Regions from separate parts of the Mus musculus genome. Here regions 1 and 2 are each reported to be linked to region 3. Evidence: microRNA targets listed by miRTarBase, many of them from high-throughput screens and not tested one by one. Region 3 holds a microRNA gene; each other region holds the end of a gene's coding sequence. Distances are from middle to middle.
Evidence for each region. The annotated mature microRNA mmu-miR-30b-5p reads UGUAAACAUCCUACACUCAGCU and lies in region 3 at 4,720-4,741, shown strand. An mRNA with a match to its seed (bases 2 to 7 or 8) in the 3' UTR can be bound and repressed. Matches are read on the target gene's strand: a 7mer-m8 pairs with bases 2 to 8, a 7mer-A1 pairs with bases 2 to 7 and ends in A, and an 8mer does both.

Region 1 (7,875 bases), not on the chromosome of region 3:
TATTATCAAAACAGATCCATATAAACCAAAAATAGTTCATTGTGTTAGCCATATACTATAGGAAGTTAAATATGGGCCACCTTTAGTGATACTGAGTTAACTAGGCTTGACTTTGATCTTAGTTGCAGGATTACACGCATTTAGTTAAGTATTATGCACATGCTTGCATACATAGATAACACTACTTCCCTTAATCAGTTGTTTCTTAGTAACTATATAACTTAGTCACTCTTAAATGTAAGAGGAAAGTTTTATTAGCTATAGCATGTTGATCCATTTATTCAAAAACAGATAGCAATTACTAACCTTTGTACTTAGCTGCTTGAACTGAAAGATACGTACGAATGAGCTAGTAAAGTCGTCTCCCTATGTATATGGGCCCAAGAGAACTGTGAGGAATATTGGGAATGAAGTATTTAGTTCTTAGGTGTAGAGTATACAATACTATATTTGAAGTGGGCCCTCAAAGGTAGGGATTTGAACAGAGTTAAACAGAGACAATAACCTGAGGCTCTTTGTGATCAGGGTTGACATGGTCAGGGAACTGGGATTGACCTTTGACTGCATGGCATTTGGGGTGAGAGATAAGGTAGTAAGAGTATGGAGTCAGTCCTTTAAGGGGCAAGCGTTTGAGGGCTACTAATGCTCTGTATTGCCAGAAGCCTCATATTTGACCAGAAACATACAGGCTTAGGAACCAGGAAAATTAGGGTTTTTAAGTAACCAACTTAGTTACCCTAGTCTTCCCATATTTAACAAAGGATTCAAGATAATGTAGGCAGAATATGCTGCCATGATGGCCTCAGTGAGAGAGGATGTGCCTACCCCTGCAGACGTGACGTGCCAGGGTGGACGGATATTCACAGGGGCTTCCCCTTCTCAGAGGAGAAGGGGAGAGGGAGTAGGGGAAGAGCTGTTGGAGGAGGGACTGGGAGGAGAGGAGGAGATGAATATATTGGGGTGTAAGGTGGATTCATTAGTGTTTTCAGTATGCTGTGCTAGGCCTTTTTATTATGAAAGAAACGTTTTATTAGAATTACAATCGAAGGCTTCATGCAGCACAGTTAAACTTTATTGGTTATTAAGAACTGCTTGTTGAAGAATCTTTGAATTTTTGCTCTTTTAGAGGAAACATGGAGAAAGCCATTGACATGTTCAACAAAGCTATCAACTTGGCCAAGTCGGAAATGGAGATGGCTCATCTGTATTCACTTTGTGATGCTGCCCATGCCCAGACAGAAGTAGCAAAGAAATACGGATTAAAACCGCCGACATTATAAACACAGGGGAAACAGACTGACTCTTTTCAAAGAAGTTTACCCCCTCTTCAACTCAACCCTGAAGACACTGTCATAAATTGTTGAACGGTGGAACTTAGTAGTCCCTTTGTGATGTTGTCATTCATTACATCTGTTTCATGTTTAGGTGTAGTGGGCGTGGCTGTTGAAGGAAGTTTGCAGTCTTGCAGCTTTTATTCCCTGTGCAACAAAAGCTTAGAACCTGTTAAAGGGATATTAAAACAAAGTTGTAGAATACAAACAGTAATTGGCCATGCAAATAAAAACTTTGATTTGTTGATTTGTTTTTTTTTTTTAATATTGGGGTGGGGATTATGTTCTGAATGATTTTGTTTTTTTATAGCTGTTTGTATAATATGTGAGTATTTTATAGTATGTTAGTTTTTAACATAGTAAGTGCTGTAAAATATACTTCTTTTGTATTCAATTAATCCTTTTTAATTTTTTTTGAAGGATGAAAAGCTTCAATGTGGATTTCAGTAAAATTGAAAGACTTTAAGCTATTGTCAGCATGCACAGTGCCTCTGATTCTGTAGAACTTTAGTAAATTATGCAGAAGCAAAATATTCTCATTGATACTTGTACAGGAAGACTTAATGAGGGACTGAACAAGGCAGGTAAGATGAACAAGACATGTATATACTTGGCCGTGCCTATTCCATAGTAAGTACTATTTAATAGTATGCTTTTAAATGAAAGTGGGTGTATGTGAGCAACCCACGTACAGGTGGAGTACATGTGATGATATATAGGAGTATTTAATTAGCTTCAATTTTCTAGTGACAGAAATTTGGTAAAGGTTCTAAAGGATGTCAGTCCTGAAGCCAGGACATACTTGTTTGAAATGGAAACCTCAGTGGTGTAGCTGTGGCTGCTAACTTAGGGATTTGAGCCAGTATTTCCAGAGCTGTCCAATACATAGAGTACTTCTGTATTGAGGTGACCTTCACCTCTAAGGACGGATGGCCCACATCCACATCTCCAGGGATGCTGACAGTTGGTTCTGTTCATTTTGATCTGTACCTCATCCTCTTTTGACTCTCTAAGCTGTTTCTCTTCCTCACTTTCACAGCCTATCCTTTTACTTACTTATCTGCTGGAGTTTTCTGGTTGGGGAGGGATGTGTTCTTACTGAGTCTGTTTCCAAGATCCAGGACAGGTTGAGGTTTATTTAAGTAAAATGATTTTTTAAAAAAGCAAGCCTGCTTATAATTATAGTTTACATTGTTGAGAGTAAAGGAGCATTTTACACTCTTATTTTAAAAGGGTGCTTTATCCCACTGAAACCAAAATGATTTTGTCTACAGATGCTGTCTTTTTAGAAAATATTAGAAATGACTCCTCTTATAAAGTCAGTTTTTGGACGATGCTGGTTAGCCTATGGCTGATATCATTAGGAACAATTAATGTAATTTAAGGTGACTGGGATAATGGAAAGTTGGAGAGATCTTCATTTTGTTGTGAAATAATTCTCCAATGATGATAACCTTAAATACAGAAATGTCCTACATCTCTGAATGTGACCTCTTCGCTTAAAAGTTTTTTATTTGCATGGCTGTATTTACATTAATAGGGACATCTTCTACTCTTCTCCCTTCTTTCTTGGGGTAGGGTAGGAAACACTGAAGCATGTGCCGTTCAATACTGTCATTCCAGATACTCAAATGTTTTGCTTGTTGTGAACATGTTTGAAACTGCACTGAAAGCTGCATCTGTCTGTATCTTTACTTTTGTAAATGGCTTCACATGTAAATTCACAAAATAAATACTACATTCAAGCTTTTCTATCCATTTTTGAAACAGAAAGATAGGAAATTTGTTTGTTTTTTTAACTGAAACCCTCTTCAGTCAGTTTCTTGTTGATTCAAACTAACTTTGAAGATAGATATATACAAGGTTTTATTGGTGTGGTCATGAAATTTCCTGCGAGGATTCATTCTTTATCTGTGTCTTAGACTCAGCCTAGAAAGCCATCTGTCATATGTTATGATGGAGCTACGTTCTCCGTGCTGACTCCACACGGTAGTTTAATCATAGTCTCAACCATGGAGAGAACTTGAGAACTTAAGTAAGCTAAAGCCATAAACATCAGAGGACACAAAAGAGGACAACTTCAAAAGGAAATAAGGGAGAGCTGGAGAGGTTTGGTTCCCAGGACTTCATGTGGCAGCTCACAAGCTGCCTTTAACTCCCCGTAGGTCCAGTTCCAGGTGATCAGACACCTTCTGCCTCCTCAGGCAACACACACGGGCACACACACGGGCACACACACGGGCACACACACACACACGGGCAAAATAACTAAACATAAACAATCATTTTAAAGGAATAAAAATAATAAGTTGACCTTTGTGAAAATACAGTTTGTTCTTCAAATAATACTTTTTTAAAAAATAAAAATTAGTTGGCATGATGGAACAAGCCTATAATCTCAGTACTTAGGTGACAGAGATGGTAGAGTCACTTAGCAAGATAGAAAATGATGAAATTCTAAGAGAATAAATGAAGTTGCAGCTGTGGTAAGGAGAATGTTTAGCATTGAGATCTGGGCTTAATCCCCAGTGTGAGCTCTGGTAAATGTCATTTTCCCCCTTTAGAGCAGGAGACTGTGACAAAAAATGTACATCAAAATATATAAACAACTTATCATTTGAGGATAAAGCCATAAAAATATAGGCAAAAGTTATCAACTGATATTTTACCAAAGATACATGTGAAAAGATTAGTATGAGTGACTGATCAGTTTTTAATGTTTTATTGTGTGAAGTGTACATGTGGAGGGCAACTTTATAGAATCGGTCCCTTCCATCATAGGCTTTAAAGATTGAACTCGGGTTGTCAGGCCTACAGAGCAAAAGAGGCCTGCTTTTATCCTGAGCCATTTTACCAGCCCAAGAAATACTAAATCTACTGAGAAGAACCTGCTTATGGCATTGTGCCTATAATCCCAGCACAACGACTAGAACTCATACAGTTGTTGGCAGCACTGTCAAATGGTATGATCACTTTGGAAGCGATTTGATAGTGAAGTAGATATATGAGCCCACAACTCTACTGCTCCAGACATGAAAAGATTGTTTCTGACTCCTTCATTCAAAAGGCAGAAAGAACTCAAATTTCCATCAACAAGTAATACATCACTGATACACAGGTAAGATAAAAGTACTAGGTTATAATTCACTTTTTACATAACTCTAGAAAACTCAAAGCTCTCTGTTGATAAAGCTTATCAGTAGTTGAATAACTAGAGTTCTTAGAAGACTCTAGGGAGGGGCTGAAGAGATGGCCCAGTGTTCAAGAGTGCTTACTGCTCTGGGAGAGAACCTAAGTTCAGTTCCTGTCACCCACATTGGACAGCTTAGGAATACCTCTGACTGCAGCCCTGGGGAATTCCTTCTGACCTCAGCACCTGCACATACCCATGACACATACACAGACAAAAATAGTCCAAATGCTTATAAAGAAACTCCTGGTGGCAGTACAGATATTCACTTTCTTGACTGGTATTTCATAGATGAATGTGTGTGTGCTAAATCTTACTAAATCATATACTTCATTTTTATTTAATCACTGGCTTTTCTTACTCTTCTGTAAGTAACCATAATAATAGCCTATATGCTTTTATATATTGGAAAAGTTTTGATTTACCAGCATGGTATTGAACCAGCCATGTGCTAAACCAGTATTGTGTAGGTCACGGGTCCCAGCTGCACATCTATTCCTGTTTACAAGTGGCACATTCAGCTCTATTGGTTTTTTTGTGGACTTTTTGTTTTCTTTTGTCTTTATTGGTCTTTTGCTTGTTAATTTTGATTTTCATTTTATGGAGTTTTTGTTTGTTTTAGAAAGAAAAAGAACATAAATCTGGATGAGTGGAGATGAATTGGGAAAGAAGAAAAACATCAAAATATATTGTATGAAAACAATTTTTAATAAAAAGTTTTAAAAGTGTCATGTTGATGGGATATTAGCACCATGAAAATTAGTGTTCTGGTAAATGTACATTTTCTCAGACAGATGGGACCAGCCCACCACACATGGAAACAATGCTTAGAGGCTTCAGTTTTTAATTGTTCAAAAGGATCTTGGGACTGAAATGCCTAGGAACCATCAGACTAGTTAAGAGCTAGAACATTGTTACCAAGCACATTTTAATTAAAGATGAAACTTTTAATTAAAATAGGGGACCTTGTGGCACAGATCATTGATAGAATTAACATGAAATGGCCCTGTTCCCCCCTCCCTCCAAAAAAAAGAGATGTAGTAGAGTTGATCATCTGACAGAGCATCATCCTGTTGGTGACATTTTTGAAACAGATATCAAGGCTTCTTTGATTCCACTGTATAGAGGTCTGCTCGTTTCTGTTTTAAAATGGGGATTTGCTGCCGAATTTCAGCCAGCTTCTTCAGGTCTGCAAAAACAGGAACACACATGATTAATAATTTGCAACTACTTAACCAAGCAATTAAATTTTGTCCCCAGACCAAAGTCTCAGCAAGTGACCTAGGAACATTTGCCTTGTCTGGATGCTGGTGACCTGGAGTTGGTCCTGGGTCAGTTCAAACTAAACAAAACCTAGTGAGACAAAGCCCCAGAGCTCACCCTCAACACCAGGATATCACCAGGATAGAAGAGCAGCGCACAACGGAACCCTTCCAAGTCAGCCACAGACTGGCCTGAGAGCAGTGGGAGCCCCAGAAACCATAACCACAGCAGGGCAAAGCTTACCTATGTCTGAGTACAGGATTGTTTCCTCCGTGCCAGCTTTGGTTAGGACCTGCCCCCTGAAGAAAATCCAGAGAATGAATGGGGATTCGCCAACCTCAAGTTCTCTATATTTCCTCCTTGTGTACCAGGCCAAAAAAAGATTCTAAGATCTAAAATAAAAAAGTAGTATAAATTCTGGTTCTGTTATTTATGTTAAGAACGTGTGGCACATCATGTGGAAATAGGAGTCCTGTGAGGCTTGGTAAGGAAAGTGGGATATGTTTAATAAACTGCACACTCCTGGAAAGCCATAGCTCATTCATGATTATAAGTATCTGGGAACAGAGCTGCCAAGAGTCAACAGGAAAAAGCCCCTCCTAAGGAAGGTCTCCGTCTGTCCCTCATGTGCTCCCAACTGCAACCACATCTGAGGGTAATGAGGCCGGGCCTATACAGGGTCCAGATTTACAAGAACCCTCTACCTGTGTGGCTGAGATCCCTGGCTCCCTATGCTTTGGAGTTTCGGATTGGAGGACAAGACTTTACCCAGTGTCTGAATAACAAGAGTGTGCTGACAGGAGCAACAGCCCTTCAAACGACCAGGTGAAGGCTATTCTGGAAAACTTTGCAGTAACCAGCCTTTTGGCCCAGTGCAGGGCCTCAATAATATATCTATCTGGAGAAATGATTAATTTCCAAATATGTCAAAACAAACCATCTGGCACAATTAACTGACTGTACTTATCAGACAGCCACAGACTCTCAGCAAGGATGAAATACCAATACCATTAATTTCATTTGATTGAATCCTAATTCCCACCCATCTGTCCTGGCAAATTCAAAGTTCTTTCTCTAATGTCACTCCCACCCAGACACCGACCACCCTAAAGTCATAGGCTGAAAGGCCTCAAAAGCCTTCAGGGAAAAAAAAAAAGGAAGCGCATATAACACACAAAAATTACTCTGCAACAGCCACTCTAGGTAGCCACCAGGAGAACTGGCTGTGGAGCCTTTCACCAACATCTAGATAGGAATGTGACAGAATCCAGCCTAACCCACTTCTCCAATGCCCATAAACCCTGGTGTGTGCAACTACTGAGAATCATACACACAGGGGACACTCCTTTCTAGGACCCTTTATTTATTCTGAAATTGTAGAAATACTGTGTGTGTATACACAAGTAGCCTGGACCAAAGCCAACTTTTGAAGTCCAAAGTTCTAGTAAGGACATGTGTCTGACTGAGATTCTATATGTGAATGTCAAATTACACATACAGTTGCCAACCGTGTGATATGTCCATGGAGAAACATCTGTGTGATGTTCTGTGTTCTCAGTGGTAAAATTCTTTGCCGTTTCACGGGGGACAGTCAGTTTCTTCTAACCCTATGGTTCTCAACTTTGCTAATGGTATGACCCTCATGGTGTGGTGACCCCACCACCACCACCACCACAAAATTATGGTTTATGGCTGCTACCTCATAACTGAAATTTTGCTACGATTATGAATCACGTAAATATATGATATGCAGGATATCTGATGTGTGGAGGAGTTGTGACGCACAGCATGAGAACCACTGCTTTAACCCAGTCCCCCATCTCTAATCATTACACGCGGAGTAACACTCTTGCCTTGCTTCTCATTCCTGCCCTTGAACCAGTCACTCAGCCTAAATTTTAGCCAGATGCAAACTAAGAATTCTGAGATCTCTTCCTAAAAGCAACCGCTTGCCTACGCTGCTGCCTTGTTTATTTTGTATGACTACCAGGACTACCTAGACAAGCAAAGATGACAACACTTGAGCAAGCAGGATCCGCTTTCTTATCATGTGGGTTGCAAGTAAAAAGCTTCCCTTATGCTTGTCCGGGT
Region 2 (7,842 bases), 34 Mb from region 3:
ATCCCAAGGAGCCAGCTTAAGCAACATAAGGCTGTCCCCTCTCAAAAAGAGGCAGGAGGGAAGAAAAGAAAAAGAAAAAGCAGATTCTGTAGGTTGCCATCAGTTCAGTGTCAGCAGTTACAATTAATACCCTGGGCTGTAAAAGAAGGGAGGCAGAGAATAGCTAACTTGAAAATATCCAAGACTGGAAGACTTATTAAACAATAAAATGTTAACATTAGTAGAGTTTTTTCATCAGTGTTACTTTTTGGGTTTTGGGGGCGGGTGTTTTGTTTTATGTTTCATTTTTTTTGTTGTTGTTTTGAGACAGGGTCTCTGTTTGTAGCCTTATCTGTCCTGGAACTTGGTGGATGGACCAAGCTGGCCTTGAACTAATCTACCTGCCTCCCGAGTGTGGGGACTAAAGGCATGCACCACCACTACCTGGCACCATAGTTGTTACTTTTATATTGTTGATATATACTGGTTATCCTCCTTACATTTTTTTTCTCTCCTCACCTTCTCCTTCCCTTTTTTTCCCATTTAGCCAAGTCTGAAACTAACTGGGAATCTCCAAAACAAATAAAAAAGAAGAAAAAGGCCAGACGGGAAACGTGAATTTTTTTTTCCTGAATTGGACATGTGTTTACAAACACTGTCTTGAAGATTATGCTGTTTATGCAATAATTTGTGAACATGTACAGAGTTTTATATAAATTTAAACCAATTTTTAAAACAAAACTGAACACAACCACCATAAAATGGAATCAAAGGAAAGTTAATTTATGAAATAAAGAGGTCAACAGAATACACAGTGCTGGAAGACACTTGGGAGAGTCTTTTCAATTGAACGAGAATGATCGTAATTTAAGACTATTATCCTGGTTTTACAACAGTTACCTGTTTACAACAGACTGTGCCCTGTCTCCTCTGCAGCTGAGGAATAATGAATGGATTCTGATTAGAGAGAAGGCTGCCGTGAGGCCAGTAGGCAAGTCCTTGGATCTTATGCACGACCTTAGACCATTTGAATCTGTTTTATGCTTAAATCAAAGTGCTTTGATCAAATGTATAATCTGCCATATCTTTACATATTTGTTGTAGCAGTTTGTATTAAAAGAATCACAAGTGCAAATTAAAAGGTCATTTATCATTTATTTAACTAAACTGTCTTGGTTTAGTTTACAGTTCTTTAAAAGTTCTAAATTAAAACATTAAAAAATGCAATTGACAGACACTTGTATGACTTACAAAGTTATTTTTGATAGTCTTAACATTACTTGAATTATTCAAAATAACAGTATATTTTAAATTAAGAAAGGTAAATATATTATTTGTTTGATACATTAAGACTGAGACTAACAATGCTCTTGTTTATGATTTGAAAAGTTTTCAGGCAAATCCAACTTAGTGTTTTTCCTTTCCCTAGCAATTTTCCAGTGTCAACTCTTAGTTGCTAGTAATTTTTTTACCTTAAAAATGAAGTAATTCGCAACTTTTGAGCATATGACGGAGAATGCAAAAGTAGTCAGACAGCTTTAATTGATATTGTGGAGACCTCCGGTTATCAGGAATACATTTTTTTACTGCCTTAACCTCCTGTAGTGAGTAGAATATGCATCAGTTTCTTGAAGGGGATTCGTGTTTTTATAAGAATTTTCATGTAACTATTGCAATTGTGGTTAAAAACAGAAAGGAACATTTTCTGCTTGAAACTGTGTTGATTTGAATGACGTATGATCTGTCACCATTTTCAGGCACTGTGTGATCCCTAGGAAAGTGGCAGGCCTCTCTGTAACTGTTAATAGTGCATGCTCGGCCATGTACACTGTAAATAGCCTTTACCAAACGTGTTTGACAAGGACCATAATTAACATCACTTTAGTAAATTGTGATTTTTTTAAAAAAAGCCATGATTTATTGATGTGAGTGGCTTGTTTTCATGTGGCGCCAGAAATGAACCTGTTTAAAAGCTATAACCAATGGTACTGATCTATCCATTAAATACTGTCCTTAAACTGTAGTTTAATAGTATTGTCAACTAGGAAAGCTAAAATGGTTTTTGTTCTGTTGAAGACTGGCCTTATTAATGGACAGCTTTCCTCAGAAGTGATTAACAACTTTTTTATTGGGTGTTAACATCTGTTTCAAGAACATGGCAGTATGTTTACATGTCGTCAGAAGTTTTCTTTGAATGGAATTTCTAAATTAATTTACTTGTTTAAATAAATTCAGAACTGGGTAGCATTGTTTTTATTTGCTTCACTATTGAGGTGAATAAGAGCTGATGTGCCACAAATGGAGCCTTCAGATGGCTGCTTTGAGCTTCGTGTTCCCTCAGGGGATGCCAAGATATGTCTCAAGGAGAGATTAATGAGGGGTTTGTAATTACAGAGTGTGCCAAGGTCAGTGCTCACAAGTTTAATTGAACTCTCTCAACTCTACCTCACTGTTCCTTTTCCTTATAATTCTCTGGGCTAGGTCAAATCAGAAACTTTATTTTTCGGTTCAGTATCTCCCGATTCAATCACTTGTAGGAGGTGGTAACTACACTTAGCAGTAAGAATATCACCTTTTTGAAGAGATGTGTATTATGGGAGTGGAAGCACAGCGATACACTGGGTAGGTCAGTGTGGAAGTCGCCTCTGTGCCTTCCTTCTCGCTGGCTTGTGAGCCAGGCCCCCCTCCCCCCCAACCCCCACGCCGGTAGAAGGAGGCAGGTATATGAGTCAAAATCCAGTTCTCTTAAAATCGTTGCTCTTTACCTCTCTATAGATCTTTGTGTGGCAGGGCAGTGATTTTTTTTTTTTTTTTTTTGTCACTGAACAGAGGAACTGGCTTCTGTCATCAACTCAGAAAACTCTGATGCCACCTGTTTCCCTGAAATAGGCTCTCTGAAAAGCCTTTCTGTTGTGGAGCAGGGCGTGGCCATGTCAGAGTTCTCCAACTGCATTATACCTATACCCTAAATTGAGAAACAAACAGTTGAGAGAGTCCAAAAATAAAAGTTGAAATATCATTGATGTAATTACCATGTTTCATTTGTGCATGCATTTTATTGGGGATGGGAGGTTGGAATAATTTATCCAAATCTAATGGTATTATTTCATAGGCTAATCCAGTTTGTATTTGAGTTAAAGATCCCAGAGTGTAGTAATTAATTGCAGCGTTTGGTTTTTCTTAATTAAAAGTAGTCCTCTATTAATATAGTGTGAAATATCAAAATTTAGGATTTAAGTTTAAGGTCTAATGGCTATTTTAAAGTTTTTCTGTAAATTCTTTGCACAAACTAGAATTGGAATTGCTTTCAAAAGACTTGGGGAATGAAAATATGTCATGTGTAAGATGCACTGAGTGTTGTAAATAAAACAGACCATTTTTGTTTTGTTTAAATTGTTACATTCTCTGTGGGAAGGGACTTTGTCCTTTTGTTGTGGTCTAATAAGATATCACGCCTTTGGTTCATGGATTTTACTTTTCCTTTCATTAAAATCATCATTTCAGGCTTTGCCACCAACAAACCAAATATTCAAAGTTACAAACCTCTGAGAATGAGCATGTGCAGCTGGGCAGAGTTATACATTCCTTTAATTCCAGCACTCAGTAGGCAGAGACAGGCAGATCTCTGAAAGTCTCTACACTGTGAGTTCCGGGACATAGTGAGACCCTGTCTGGGGCGTGAAGGGTGGTCAAGAGAAAGAGAATGAGCACTTATGATAGTGTCCTCCATGGGAATCAGCCATAAGTCATCTTAGTAAGTATGACTTTTTTTTTTTTTAGGTTAAAGGAATTAAACTAGAATTTGACGTGCATTAGTTGGTATGTGGTAGATTAACTGCATTGCCAAACAGTAGTGTAGTGACTTATGATAGTTTGCTTCTATTGTATATAAAAATCTGGGTAGATGCAGCGACTTAACATGTGAGTGGGGGGACATTTAGGGGCAACAGGGGCTTGCAAGGAGTTGGTACTGGGAGAAGAGGGGCTGGTATTAGGTTGTAAAGTAAATAAATACTTTCTGTAAGTATTAAAAAATAAATCTGGGGGAGATGGCTCAATCCTTAAAGTGTGGTAGATAACTAAATCCCACATTTAGAAAACCTGGATGTATTAGTGTGAACATGTAATCTCTGTAATAGGGAGGCTTGCCGGCAGCCAGTCTAATCAAATTGTTGAGTTACAAGGTCAGAGAGACCCTGCCTTTATAAAGGTATGAAGAGTTATCTAAGAGGACAGCTGTGTTAATCCCTGGTTTACACACATGCACACCTGCACAAACAAATACATACTCATAACTGGTCGGGGATGTAACCCAGGCCTAGTACACAGTACAGCAGCGAGGATTCTTCTATGTTGATTCCTGGTTGGAAACAGATGGTTTTCACTTCACAATTCTTGTCAGCACCTGAGCCACTTGGAAAAAGCATTTCCCAGAGAATGTTCATAGACATCACTCTGGAGACTTAATTTGCAAAAGGTGCTTGGTCCCATCAGCCATAAAGAATGGGGTGGTAGTGGCCAGGAGTAGCTCTTACTCAAGGTGCCTGTTGACCAGATTCATATTTTATGCTTCTGTTACTGAGGAAGAGACTTGGTATCAGATGCTGCTAGTCTCTAACACAGTCTCTCTGCTGCACCAAAGCACTGATGAGGTCGATTTAGCTTTTCCAGCTGTGCAGAAATTGAAGGCTCTTGGATGCTCTCAATTTCTTTTTTTTTCCCCCCTTGAATCTCACTATGTATCTCCTGCTGTCTTAAATCTCACTCAGGACACCAGGCTTGCCATCTGCCTCTGTCTGCCTTCTAAGTGCTGGGGTTAAAGGCATGCACCACTACCATTAATGGTGTGACCCACACGGTTGGCCCAATTTTCTGTGTAGTAGAGTCCAGAAAGAATTTTTGCTGCTCTGTAACAGCTTGAGAGCTGGGGAGTTGGCTTCAGGTAAGATTGCTCATTGCACAAGCATGACTGACTCCCAGCACTGTAGTGTGAGAAGGAGACGGACACAGTAAGAACAGGGGCCTTGCTGGTGGCAGCCTTGCTGCAAGCTCAGGAAGAGTCCCAGTGTCCTACTCTGGCTTGCACATGTTCATGCCACCACACTAAATAATTGATTATTTACCACACGCTGCAAGTGTTGACTAAATTTTAATGTAAGACATTTTTAAACAAGACAGTGATTTCTAACTCTAGCATCAAGGCATGCATGTGATTTCCCATTGTGGGATTGGTTTTGTTGTTATTGGAGGGAGGATTGGTTTTGTTTATTTTCTGTCTGGTGTTGTGGTTTGGTTTGGTTTGGTTTGGTTTGGTTTGGTTTGGTTTGGTTTGGTTTGGTTTGGTGTTGGATTTTCGAGACAGTTTTTATGTGTAGTTTTGACTGACCTTGAAACTTGCTCTGTAGACCAGGCTGTCCTCAAACTTACAGAAAACCACCTGCCTCTGCCTTCTAAGTCCTGGAATTAAAGGCATACACCACCACTGCCTGGCTTGTGTTTTATTACATTATGTGTTTGGGTACACATGTACTGTGGCACTCATGTGGAGGTTAGAGGACAACTTTCTGGAGATTCTTCTTTCAGGCTTGGGAGCAAGCACTTTACCACAGAATCATCTTGCTGGTCCAGCCATTTTATGTTTGTGTGGTTTCCTTTTCATATGTACCAAAGTATTCAAATTTAATATATGCAACACTTCGAGAAACTTTAAAGCATAATAAATCTACATCTAAACCCACCAGTGTTCTTAAGTGAAATAGTGACAGCATGGGAACATCAGAGGTGAGCTTGACTATTCAGTACTCTCAAATGCCTACCTTGGAAGAAATGACTAAGGGTCCATAGACACTTTTAAGATACTGAACTGATAGCTCCTGGAAAAGTTTCTGAATGTGCATAGATAAAATGGCTAAATCTGAATGATGTTGCCTGGAGGTTAGAGCACAACTGTATGTGATAGAGCCAAGCATAAAGCTCTTCTAGGGGAGCAGCAAGTGCCTCACTTAAAGTGAGGTTCTATGAGGTGTATTATTGAAGATCTGACAAATATCAAAGGGAGTTTGTGGTCATCTTTAGCTATAGAGAGGTTTTGAGGCCAACATGGGCTCTGTAAGGTCCTGCCTGAAAACAAAAATGAAAGAAAAAATTTGTAGGTTTCTATATCATGGATATAGGCAAATATATTCTAACTACAACCCTAAATCTAATTTAACTTTTGACAGGAACAACTTAGCTACAGAAAAATTAAGATGTGACACAACCAAAAATAAACCAATGCAAACAATGGCAGGTGGCTTGCTTTTCGGAGAGGTAAAGAGAGAATACGGACTTTCTCTGGGACAGACTTTTCTAATACAATGCTTACTGGTCAGTCCTGGAATCAGTGTGAAGTTGGAATTTAGCTCAGTGGTAAGATGCTGGCCTGGTAATCACAAGGCCCTCAGTTCTCTTTGCCACCACCACAGGAATGGTAGGGAGTTGACTTCACAGGAATTTCACACACACCAATAAACCGGGAACTCCCTGAACACATAAATAACTCACTGTATTTGTAAGCCTAGTTTTAAATATATATAACTATATATAGAGCTATAAAATGGGACCAAGCTCACTGACTTGCTGCAAGGGAGACAAATCCATGTATCAGTCCAAATTCTAAGTTCAAACATTCAGCAGTTAAGGTCCCTTATAGCTCTTCCAGAGGACTGGAATTTGGTTCCCAGGCAGGGAGACCCACAATTTGCAAGGACTCCAGCTCCAGCTGATCCATTGGCTTCCTTCAGGACTTCCCAAGCAAGATATTTTGAAGCAATATCTCATGTAGCCCAGGCTACTGCTCCCCTCTCCCTCTCCATCCCCACATCTAACAAAATCTCTTAAGTCTCCAAGTAGATAGTTACAGGTAACTGATTAAGAGGAAGAACTGGAGGAGTGTCTGTGACAGGTTTGTCTTTGCTATTAAGCCCTGGATATCTGTTTGGAACAACAGGTTAGGCTTAAGAGGCGTATATAGGAAATCTAGAGACATGACTCAGTGGTTTAGAATGCATGCTGCTCTGCAGAAGACCTGAGTTAAGTTCCCAGCACCCAGGATAAGCCTCTCACAACCACCTGCAATTCCAGCTCCTGTGTGTGCCTGTGTGTTCGCATACACACAAAATCTTTAACATTAGAAATAAATCTGGAAACACCACGAGGGATCACTTTGGCCATGAGCAGTTTCTCCTTCAAGTCAGGCCCTGAGTGCTGTTTTTCAAACAGGAACCTGCAGGTGGCACATCACCAGGTAGACATGCATAGGCAAGCATTGGAAGTCGTTCCTTGCCTGCATTCCAGTGGTTTGCTATCCAAGGTTGTTTCTTTGTATATTTTTCTCTTAAATGGGTCTTTGCTTTTCTCTTGTTCTAATTTCTGACATCATCCAGTACACACATTTGTGTACTGCTTTCTTATTTTCTCTCTCTGGCAACCAAACATGATACCCCCTCAGAATATAACACTTCATATTTTTTATTTATGTGCATGTATATATGCCACATGTGTATAGGTACACTCAGAGGCCAGAAGAGGAAACCAGATCTCCTATAGCTGGAGTAATAGGCAGCTGTGAGCCACCCTATGTGGTTGTTTCTGAAAGCAGCAGACATTTTTGACTGATGAGCATCATCTCTACCTCCCTCCCTCCCCCTATATAATACTAACATGATACAGGCACATGCCTGTAATCCCAGCACTGGGAGATGGAGGTAGGACAGTGTTCAAACCATCGCTTATATATTGCATTTGAAGGGGTGAGAAATGCATTATGTTAATTTTAAAAAAAAAGTGGGAAGGTGGTTCAGTGGGCAAAGTGCTTCTACACAG
Region 3 (7,875 bases):
AGTTGTTTAAAGAAAGTTGTAATAATGTACTTGGGTACACCAGTACACCAATGTTACAGGGCATTTTCAGTGGTTAGAATCTTTTACTTTGTAGTATGTATTTAGGAAGTTTGTAATGTTTTAGATTTGCATTAGCTTGTTGAATGTTTATTCTTGTGTGGTGTAGATGCTTGTGTATGACTGTATTTCTTAGAAATCACTGGCTTTTTGTAAACTTAATTGCTTCAATAGACTTTAATTTTTTAAGTTAATTTATATGTCTCAGATTAAAGTTAATCTATAAAGTACAAATTTACTATTATCACTTAATCTTTCTTTTCTCTTTCAGGAAACTAATAGAAGAAACAAAAGCAAAATGTTTCGGTGTTGTTTTGTAAGCAAAGCCAAGGCGGGTATTGTTCCTCTTCTTACCCACTTAGTTCATTTCCATGGCCCACATTCCTAACCTAGTTCAGCTAAGGATAGGGAGGAAGATATTAGAATCTTTCTCAGCATAGAGTTACTGCCAGCAAAACTTGTGTCTAAATTAAGACAGTTTGGTTAATGAGAAACTTCAATTCTAATAGTACTATCACTTAGGACTGTCTGGGAAAACTGAGATGTATGGTCAATCTACTTTTTAGATTGTTATTTATTATTAATTTTGAAATTCTGGATTTGTGGAGAAGAAAGAAAACATATACATCTGGTAGAAAAATGTGTCCATGTGGAGTAACATAGAAAAGTTTGTATTGAATCTTTTCTAATTAGATAATTCAAGAGACATTACTATCTTCCCTTATTAACTAGTATTGTTTACTTTATTGTTTGTCTTTTCCCCCCAAGATGTCACAGTTGTCATTCAGCTCCGCAGTTGTGAAAGTCGGTAGCGGAAGCAATGACTGACCATTTGCTCTGTTCCTTTGTAGCTTGCTGTCAGAAAGTCTGTGTCTGTAAACATCCCCGACTGGAAGCTGTAAGCCACAGCCAAGCTTTCAGTCAGATGTTTGCTGCTACTGGCTCTTCGAATGCATCTTTTGGACAATCTGGCCTAAGGATTGGAGCTGAGGATGCTGAGAAATGCCTGGGATGCATCAGAAATCTTGAGGAGCATTCATTTACTGCTTGCTTCTGCTGGCAGCTTCTAATGTTGGGAGCTGACTAAACATGCTTCTTCTGGCCTTAGAGGATCTGTCTAAAACAAGTTTTAATACTGTTTTTGCCGTGTCAGTACAAGTTTATCCTTTATACCTTTTTCAAATAGGCTAGAGTTTAACTTCCTAACAATCCTGAAAACCAACTTTCTTCCCTATAAACTCTGTAGGTTATTCATGTCTACCACCCACCCAGCAGTCTACAACCTAGGAATTTCAGGTTTCCCTGTACTTAATTTGTATGTAAATGTTTGCTTCCTCCTCCTGTGATGAAACTAATCTTAATCAGAGCGTTCTTCTCAGTCTGGAAATCCCAAACCACTAGACCTCTTCACAACATCTGCTAATGGTTCTGTATGCCCTTGTGGATTAAACTAAGCTACCTGATAGCTTTAGGTTATTGCTTGGCTCCCAGCTGCCTTGGGAGTAGTTGTATTGTTTTCCATTTTTATTTCTCTCCACAATACTAAATAATCTAGGCTTTCTATCATAGACAAAAATTATTGTGAACCAGTGTAATTTCATAACTTACTGAGGTTTTTGATTGATTGGGTTTGGTTTTTGGTTTTGGTTGTTTTTTTTTTTTTTTTTAACTTTTACAATGTTTTCTCACTTACATTTTTCTTTGGGTTACTATTAGCTTTATTTCTTAAGACGTTTGTTTGCTTGTTTGTTTGTTTATTTGTTTGTTTGAGAGAGGGTTTCACTGTGTAGCTCTAGTTGGCCTGTAACTCCTAGAGATCCACCAGCTTTCTAGAGATCCACCAGCTTTCTGCCCGCTTAATGCTGGCATTAAAGGTACACACCACTATACCCAGCAGACATTATTTTCGTTACTATTAAGCTGAGTTAGGTTCAGTTTAGACTTAAAACAGAAGATACAGTTCCTGCCAATCTGATTTCTTATATGCTTCTCCTGGATTAGATTGTAGCCTTTCTGGAGACATGGATATTATGTCTTTATAATTCTGCGTTTTATACCATATGTATAAAATGTGTATATTGATATACAGTACTCTAATAATGATTTTATTCTAATAGTATATTTCCATTTACTTGTTTATTGGTGCTGGAGTTTGAACCTAGTGTTCTTGAACATGCTAAGCAAGCGACCTACTGCTGAGTTGCATTTCCAGTTTTTATTATGGATCCATTTAAGTACTACTTTGTTAGAAAGGTAGTGTGCAAGACTAATTTAAGAGAAGAGCTTGGTTGATCATTTTTGGACAGAGATATTGCTAGGAGCCCATAAAGTTCTCTGTGCCAAGGTAGAGTGTGATGTGTCTTCTGTTAATAGAATTATTTTGTTTGGCCAGGTGGCATTGGTTATTTTCCATAAAACCTTGATGTGTAAGTTAAAATTCAATGGCATGGATAAAAACTACATGGTTTACTTATTTAAAAATTATTTGAAGTGTTTTTTTAAATGGTAAGTCAAATCTAAGCTAAAAGAGGAGGAGTCATTATGCACAAAGCTACCATCCTCTGCTTACCTAGTCTAGTTATCCCTGGATGCTTCAGGGTTAATGCTAGTCTAGTGTGAAACATTTGTTGTGTATTATTCTGCCCTAATGAAAGAAAATCAGAGACCATGTCCGCTTGCGTCCTCAATGTTCTTGGTTCTATGTATTTAAGTACAGCCTTTTCGTCATCTGCAGATGACTTATTTATGTTTTAACTTAAAAACACCACAAACTTCATGTTGGCCTGCACCATTGACAGTTGAATGTTGAGCCATGAAAATTGGGTTGTCTTTCTTTTCCAATAAACTTAAAACAGATTGTTTTCTTGGCCTTTAACTTAGGTTTTCAGGAGAAAATGTGTAAATTTTGGTACAGTTTTAAAAATCTCAGAAATTTATTTACTATTGTATGTTTGTTTATTTTGGTCCAACGAATACTAAATGTCGAGGTAGTTCTCAGCCATTGTACAAATGATATTATTCCTCAGTGTATGATTTAGGAGTTAATTTTTAAGCAGACAACTATAAGTATATAAAGTCTGAGTTAATACATTCTACAAATCTATTTCAGAAATATTCATAGAAAAAAGATACATTTTGGTTGAGTCCTCATTGTCTCCATGGTCTCAAGTCTCTCTCTGCACAACAATAGTCTTGGTGTAGTTGAGAAAGGACCATAAACCTCTAACCCAGAACATATTCACTGTTGCATTAGCAGGGTCCAACTTGGATTTTGTTACAACTGCATTCATTGGATTACTGTTCTGATATTTATTGTGCATGCTAAGTTTTTGAAAAACAGGTTTAGTTTTATTTCCTGAGTTTATGCACCTTTTAAACTTATTCTGTCTTAGATTGTTTGCCTAGGCTGGTTGGCGAGGGTGAACTGTAAGGTACAGGTTTTGAGCTTGTCAACTTTTGTCAGTAGTACATTATGCACACCCTGATTATTGGACAGTCACTGCTGCCAGTGCTTTAGCTTCCCAATGTACTTAGGAAAAACAGCTTTCAAATACTACTGTGCATCACAATTACAGTGAGCTTACTAAAACACAGACTGCAGGACCCCAAAAAGAGTTCCATCCCTAGTAAGTCTGGGATAGAGCTTAGGAATCTGCTTTATTTCCTAAGTTTCTATTGTTGCTCTAGAACTAAAATCCAGAGCACTCAAATTATAGGTGTGTGTCACCATGCCAAACCCTAAAGTTTGATTGCAAAAAAGGACTGGCCCACCCCAAAGAATTAAATGTGTCTACAAAAAACAGCAGGAAATCAGACAAGCAAACTGTAATTGTAGTGAAAACAGGAAAAAGCAACATGTTTAAAGGGGAGAAAGGAGTTGGAGGTGGGGATAGATTAGTTTTGAGAATGCTGCTCCAGGAAAACAGGAGATTCCTGAGGTGATGGCGTATCTTTGAAATGCCAGGAAGTTTTAGTTTGCTGACAGTGTTATATGTAATTTTATTTCCTAATTTAAGGACTTCTTCCCTGATGAAAGTATTCCAAGAGTAACTTTTAATGTTTAGTAAAGGAATTTGGTGATTTTTTTTTTTAATTAAATCAGGAACACAGAAAGGGGTAGATGTCCTTGTGCTACCCCTTGCTACCATGTTTTAAATAATGGCCCATGGTAGAGATATGGGAAAGCCATGCCTGTGGTGCAAGGACCTGGGTGTTAAGGAAGAATAGGGGATTGGTACACCGTATTGCCCATCAAATGGGCTCCTATAAATGGAGGTGCAGTTGTTTAGAGAGAGGGAAAGGGTGGAGAAAGTTGAATGCTGTCAGAACAGTAAGTTGCCTTTAGGTGGGAAAAGCTATAGAATTCCTGTGTTCTTGCCATACGTGTGTGTGTGTGTGTGTGTGTGTGTGTGAGAGAGAGAGAGAGAGAGAGAGAGAGAGAGAGAGAGAGCATGAAAGAGAGAACGATAAATGTTTGCTGTTTCTGTGGATTCTATACTTACTCTGAAGATATCTTTCAAGTTGATTTTGTCCTCATGTAGATCACTGTGCCTAATTTTTTTTTCAACAGATTCTGCAAAATTGTCTGAGCCTCAAGTAAAAAACCAAGTATAAACATAGTAAAGAGTTCTCAAGTCTCTCTCTAAGCCAAGTTTCAGTTCATGTAAACATCCTACACTCAGCTGTCATACATGCGTTGGCTGGGATGTGGATGTTTACGTCAGCTGTCTTGGAGTATCCACCAGTTAACATATTGATACATGACTTAAGTGGCATTACAGGAGTATATCACCATGCCCAGCTAAAGGGCACTTATTATAAATACTGTTTATATTTAGGTTTTCAGTAAATACTTGCTGTACTATTTAAAATAGATACTTGTTTATCTTAATATAGATGATACCAATATTTTGATTCAGAAGTAGTGTAAATCTTACATATCACTGTAATTTGTTGCTAAATAGCCTTAAGCCTAGCTTCAGGTTCTATAATAATTAAGGAAAGTATTAATTTTCCTGGTCTCCACTTCTTTGTCAGCTGAATTGCATTGTCATAGTACCTGACAGGATTGTTGATGAAGTGAGTCGATGTCAGTTGAATGTTCTTGACATACGGTAGTTATCATTATTGTTACTATTTTAAGATTTTTTAATCCATTACCCTTTTCACAGACCTGATTGGTCTAACTGCTACTTTTATATTTGTACCAGGCAGACAGGTTGATCAATGTAATAGAATTGAAGACTCAGAAATAAAACCACACACTTATGGACACTTGATATTTGAAAAAGAAGCCAAAAAATATACAGTGGAAAAAAGAAAGCATCTTCAATAAATGGTACTGGTCTAACTGGCAGTTAGTATGTAGAAAAATGAAAATAGATCCATATTTGTCACCTGGCACAAAGCTCAAGTCCAAGTGGATCAAGGACCTCAACATAAAACCAGATTCACTGACTCTAATAGAAAAGAAAGTGGGAAAGAGCCTCAAGCTCATTGGCACTGGGCTGGGGAGGTGGGGGTGGGTATTTCCTAAATAGAACTCCAATGGCTCAGACTCTAAGATCAAGAATTAATAAATGGAACGTCATGAAACTTCTCAGCTTCTGTAAGGCAAAGGATGTAGTCAGTTAATCAAATTGGCAACCTATAGATTGAGGAAAAAAATCTTCACTAACACCACATCCCATAGAGGCCTAATATCCAAAATATAGAAAGAACTCAAGAAGCAAAAACCCAAACAACCGAATCAAAAAATGGGGTATAGAGAGAGCTAAACAGAGAATTCACAACAGAAAAATCTCGAATGGCCAAGAAGTACTTTTAAAAATGTTCAAAGTCCTTAGTCATCAGGGAAATGCAAATCAAATGACCCTGAGATTATTTACACTAATCATAATGGCTAAGACCAAAAACTCAGGTGACAGCTCATGTTGGCAAGGATGTGGAGAAAGAGGAACAATCCTCCATTGCTGGTGGAATTGCAAACTGGTACAACCATTTTGAATATCAATCTGGAGGTTTCTCAGAAAATTGGAAATAGATCTTTCTGAATACCCAGCTATACCACTCTTGGGCTTATACCCAAAAGGTGCCCCACTATACCACATGGGCACTTGCTCCACTATGTTCATAGCAACCTTATCTGTGATAGCTAGAAGCTGGAAACAACCCAGATGCACCACAACTGAAGAATGGATACAGAAAATGTGGGTCATTTACACAATTGAATATTATTTAGCTATTAGCAAGGACATCATGAGTTTTGCAGGTAAATGTATAGAACTAGAAAATACTCTGACTGAGAGAACCTAGACCCCAAAGGACATGCATGATATGTACTCACTAATAAGTGGATATTAGCCAAAAAAAAGTACAGAATACCCAGAATACAATCCATAGAGAAGGTTAACAAGCAGAAGGGCCCATGAGGACACTCACTTGGGAGGGAGAAGAAAGCCATCAAGGGAAGCAAAGGGAGGGAGGAGGGATCTGGGGAGGGGAGGGGAAAGGGGGAACATGATCAGATATAGGGGTGGTAGAAACAGGAGAGAAGCCCTGAGGGCCAGCAGAATAAATGGAGATATGCAACCTTGAGGGGGGGAGTGGGGGGGGGAACCCTCTAGAAAGTAGCAGAGACCTGGGAGGTGAGATACTCTCAGAACTTAAAAGGAGGGACCTTAGATGAAATGTCCAACAGTGGGGAGAGGGAACTTGTAGAGTCTACCTCTAGTAGAAAGACAGGGCATCAAGTGAAGGGATGGGGTTGCCATCTCACAGTCAAAAACTCTGACCCAGAATTCTTCCTGTCTAAAAGAACTGCAGGGACAAAAATGGAGAAGAGACTGAGTGAAAGGTGGTCCAGTGACCAGCCCAACTTGGGCTCCACCTCAAGGCGAGGTTCCAAGACCTGACACTATTACTGATGCTATGGTGTGCTCACAGACAAGAGCCTAGCATGGCTGTCCTCTGAGGCCCAAGAAGCAGCTGATTGAGACAGAAGCAAATACTTACCCAACCAATGGACTGTGATTGAATTAGGGAAAGGCTGGAAGAAGCTGAGGAGGGCGACTCCATAGGAAGACAGCAGTCTCAATTAACCCAGACCCCTGAGATCTCTCAGACACTGAGCCACCAATAAGGCAGCATACAGTAGCTGGTCTGAGGCCCCCCCAACCCATAAAGCAGTCGGGCCTCAGTGGGAGAAGACTGGCCTAACCTGGAGAGACTTGAGGCTCCAAGAAGTGGGGAAGCCTAATAGGGAGTGGGGTGGGGGTGTGGAGGAGTTGAGGGGAGGGACATCCTCTTGGAGTTGGGAGAGGAGTAGGATGAGGAACTGTGGCAGGGTAGACCTGGAGGTGGGTAGCACCTGGACTGTAAAGAAGTAAAAGTAACCTTGCAAATTCAGTATTTAGCAAATTAATAAAGAAAAAACCTCAAGTGTCTCGTTTATTTGAACTTTGTCAGATGCTTACATTGTTTTAAAATTTATGTGTACTTTAACAAATTATAAAGGATCCCAAAGAGATGCAACCTCTGAGTAGCTTTATAAAGTATCAAATTAAGTGTATGTAGGAATTGACCATTCAATTCACCTTTTAACTTTAATGGAACTTCTTTCATATATCAGAGATGAAAAAATCGCACACCTGTGGTTTATACTACCAAATGACACTATATGGTGTAGTCTTCACCCTGTTGTTTTCTTCTTTATTCTCTTGCTTAATGATCATATAGTTATGGCTTAACATCATATACTTACTTATATTTATGCATATGTGTGTGTGTGTGTGTGTGTGTGTATATATATATATATAT

Region 1: the mRNA of Tomm70a is a reported target of mmu-miR-30b-5p. Seed matches in the 3' UTR shown: 7mer-A1 at 2,516-2,522.
Region 2: the mRNA of Mtdh is a reported target of mmu-miR-30b-5p. Seed matches in the 3' UTR shown: 8mer at 623-630, 8mer at 881-888, 7mer-A1 at 1,160-1,166 and 8mer at 2,144-2,151.

What each region holds. Positions count from the first base shown.
Region 1 is chr16:57,151,457-57,159,331 of GRCm38, forward strand. Tomm70a (translocase of outer mitochondrial membrane 70A) reads left to right here. Exons shown (of 12, transcript NM_138599.5): 12 at 1,127-3,074. The coding sequence ends at 1,280. It overlaps Nit2 (nitrilase family, member 2), which reads right to left. Exons shown (of 10, transcript NM_023175.1): 9 at 6,028-6,083; 10 at 5,209-5,710. The coding sequence ends at 5,619. Among named protein-coding and RNA genes, the nearest start is that of Nit2, 12 kb to the right of the region's middle.
Region 2 is chr15:34,140,166-34,148,007 of GRCm38, forward strand. Mtdh (metadherin) reads left to right here. Exons shown (of 12, transcript NM_026002.5): 12 at 527-3,372. The coding sequence ends at 597. Among named protein-coding and RNA genes, the nearest start is that of Gm38594, 22 kb to the right of the region's middle.
Region 3 is chr15:68,334,335-68,342,209 of GRCm38, reverse strand. Mir30b (microRNA 30b) reads left to right here and starts at 4,700; the gene lies at 4,700-4,795. Mir30d (microRNA 30d) reads left to right here and starts at 921; the gene lies at 921-1,002.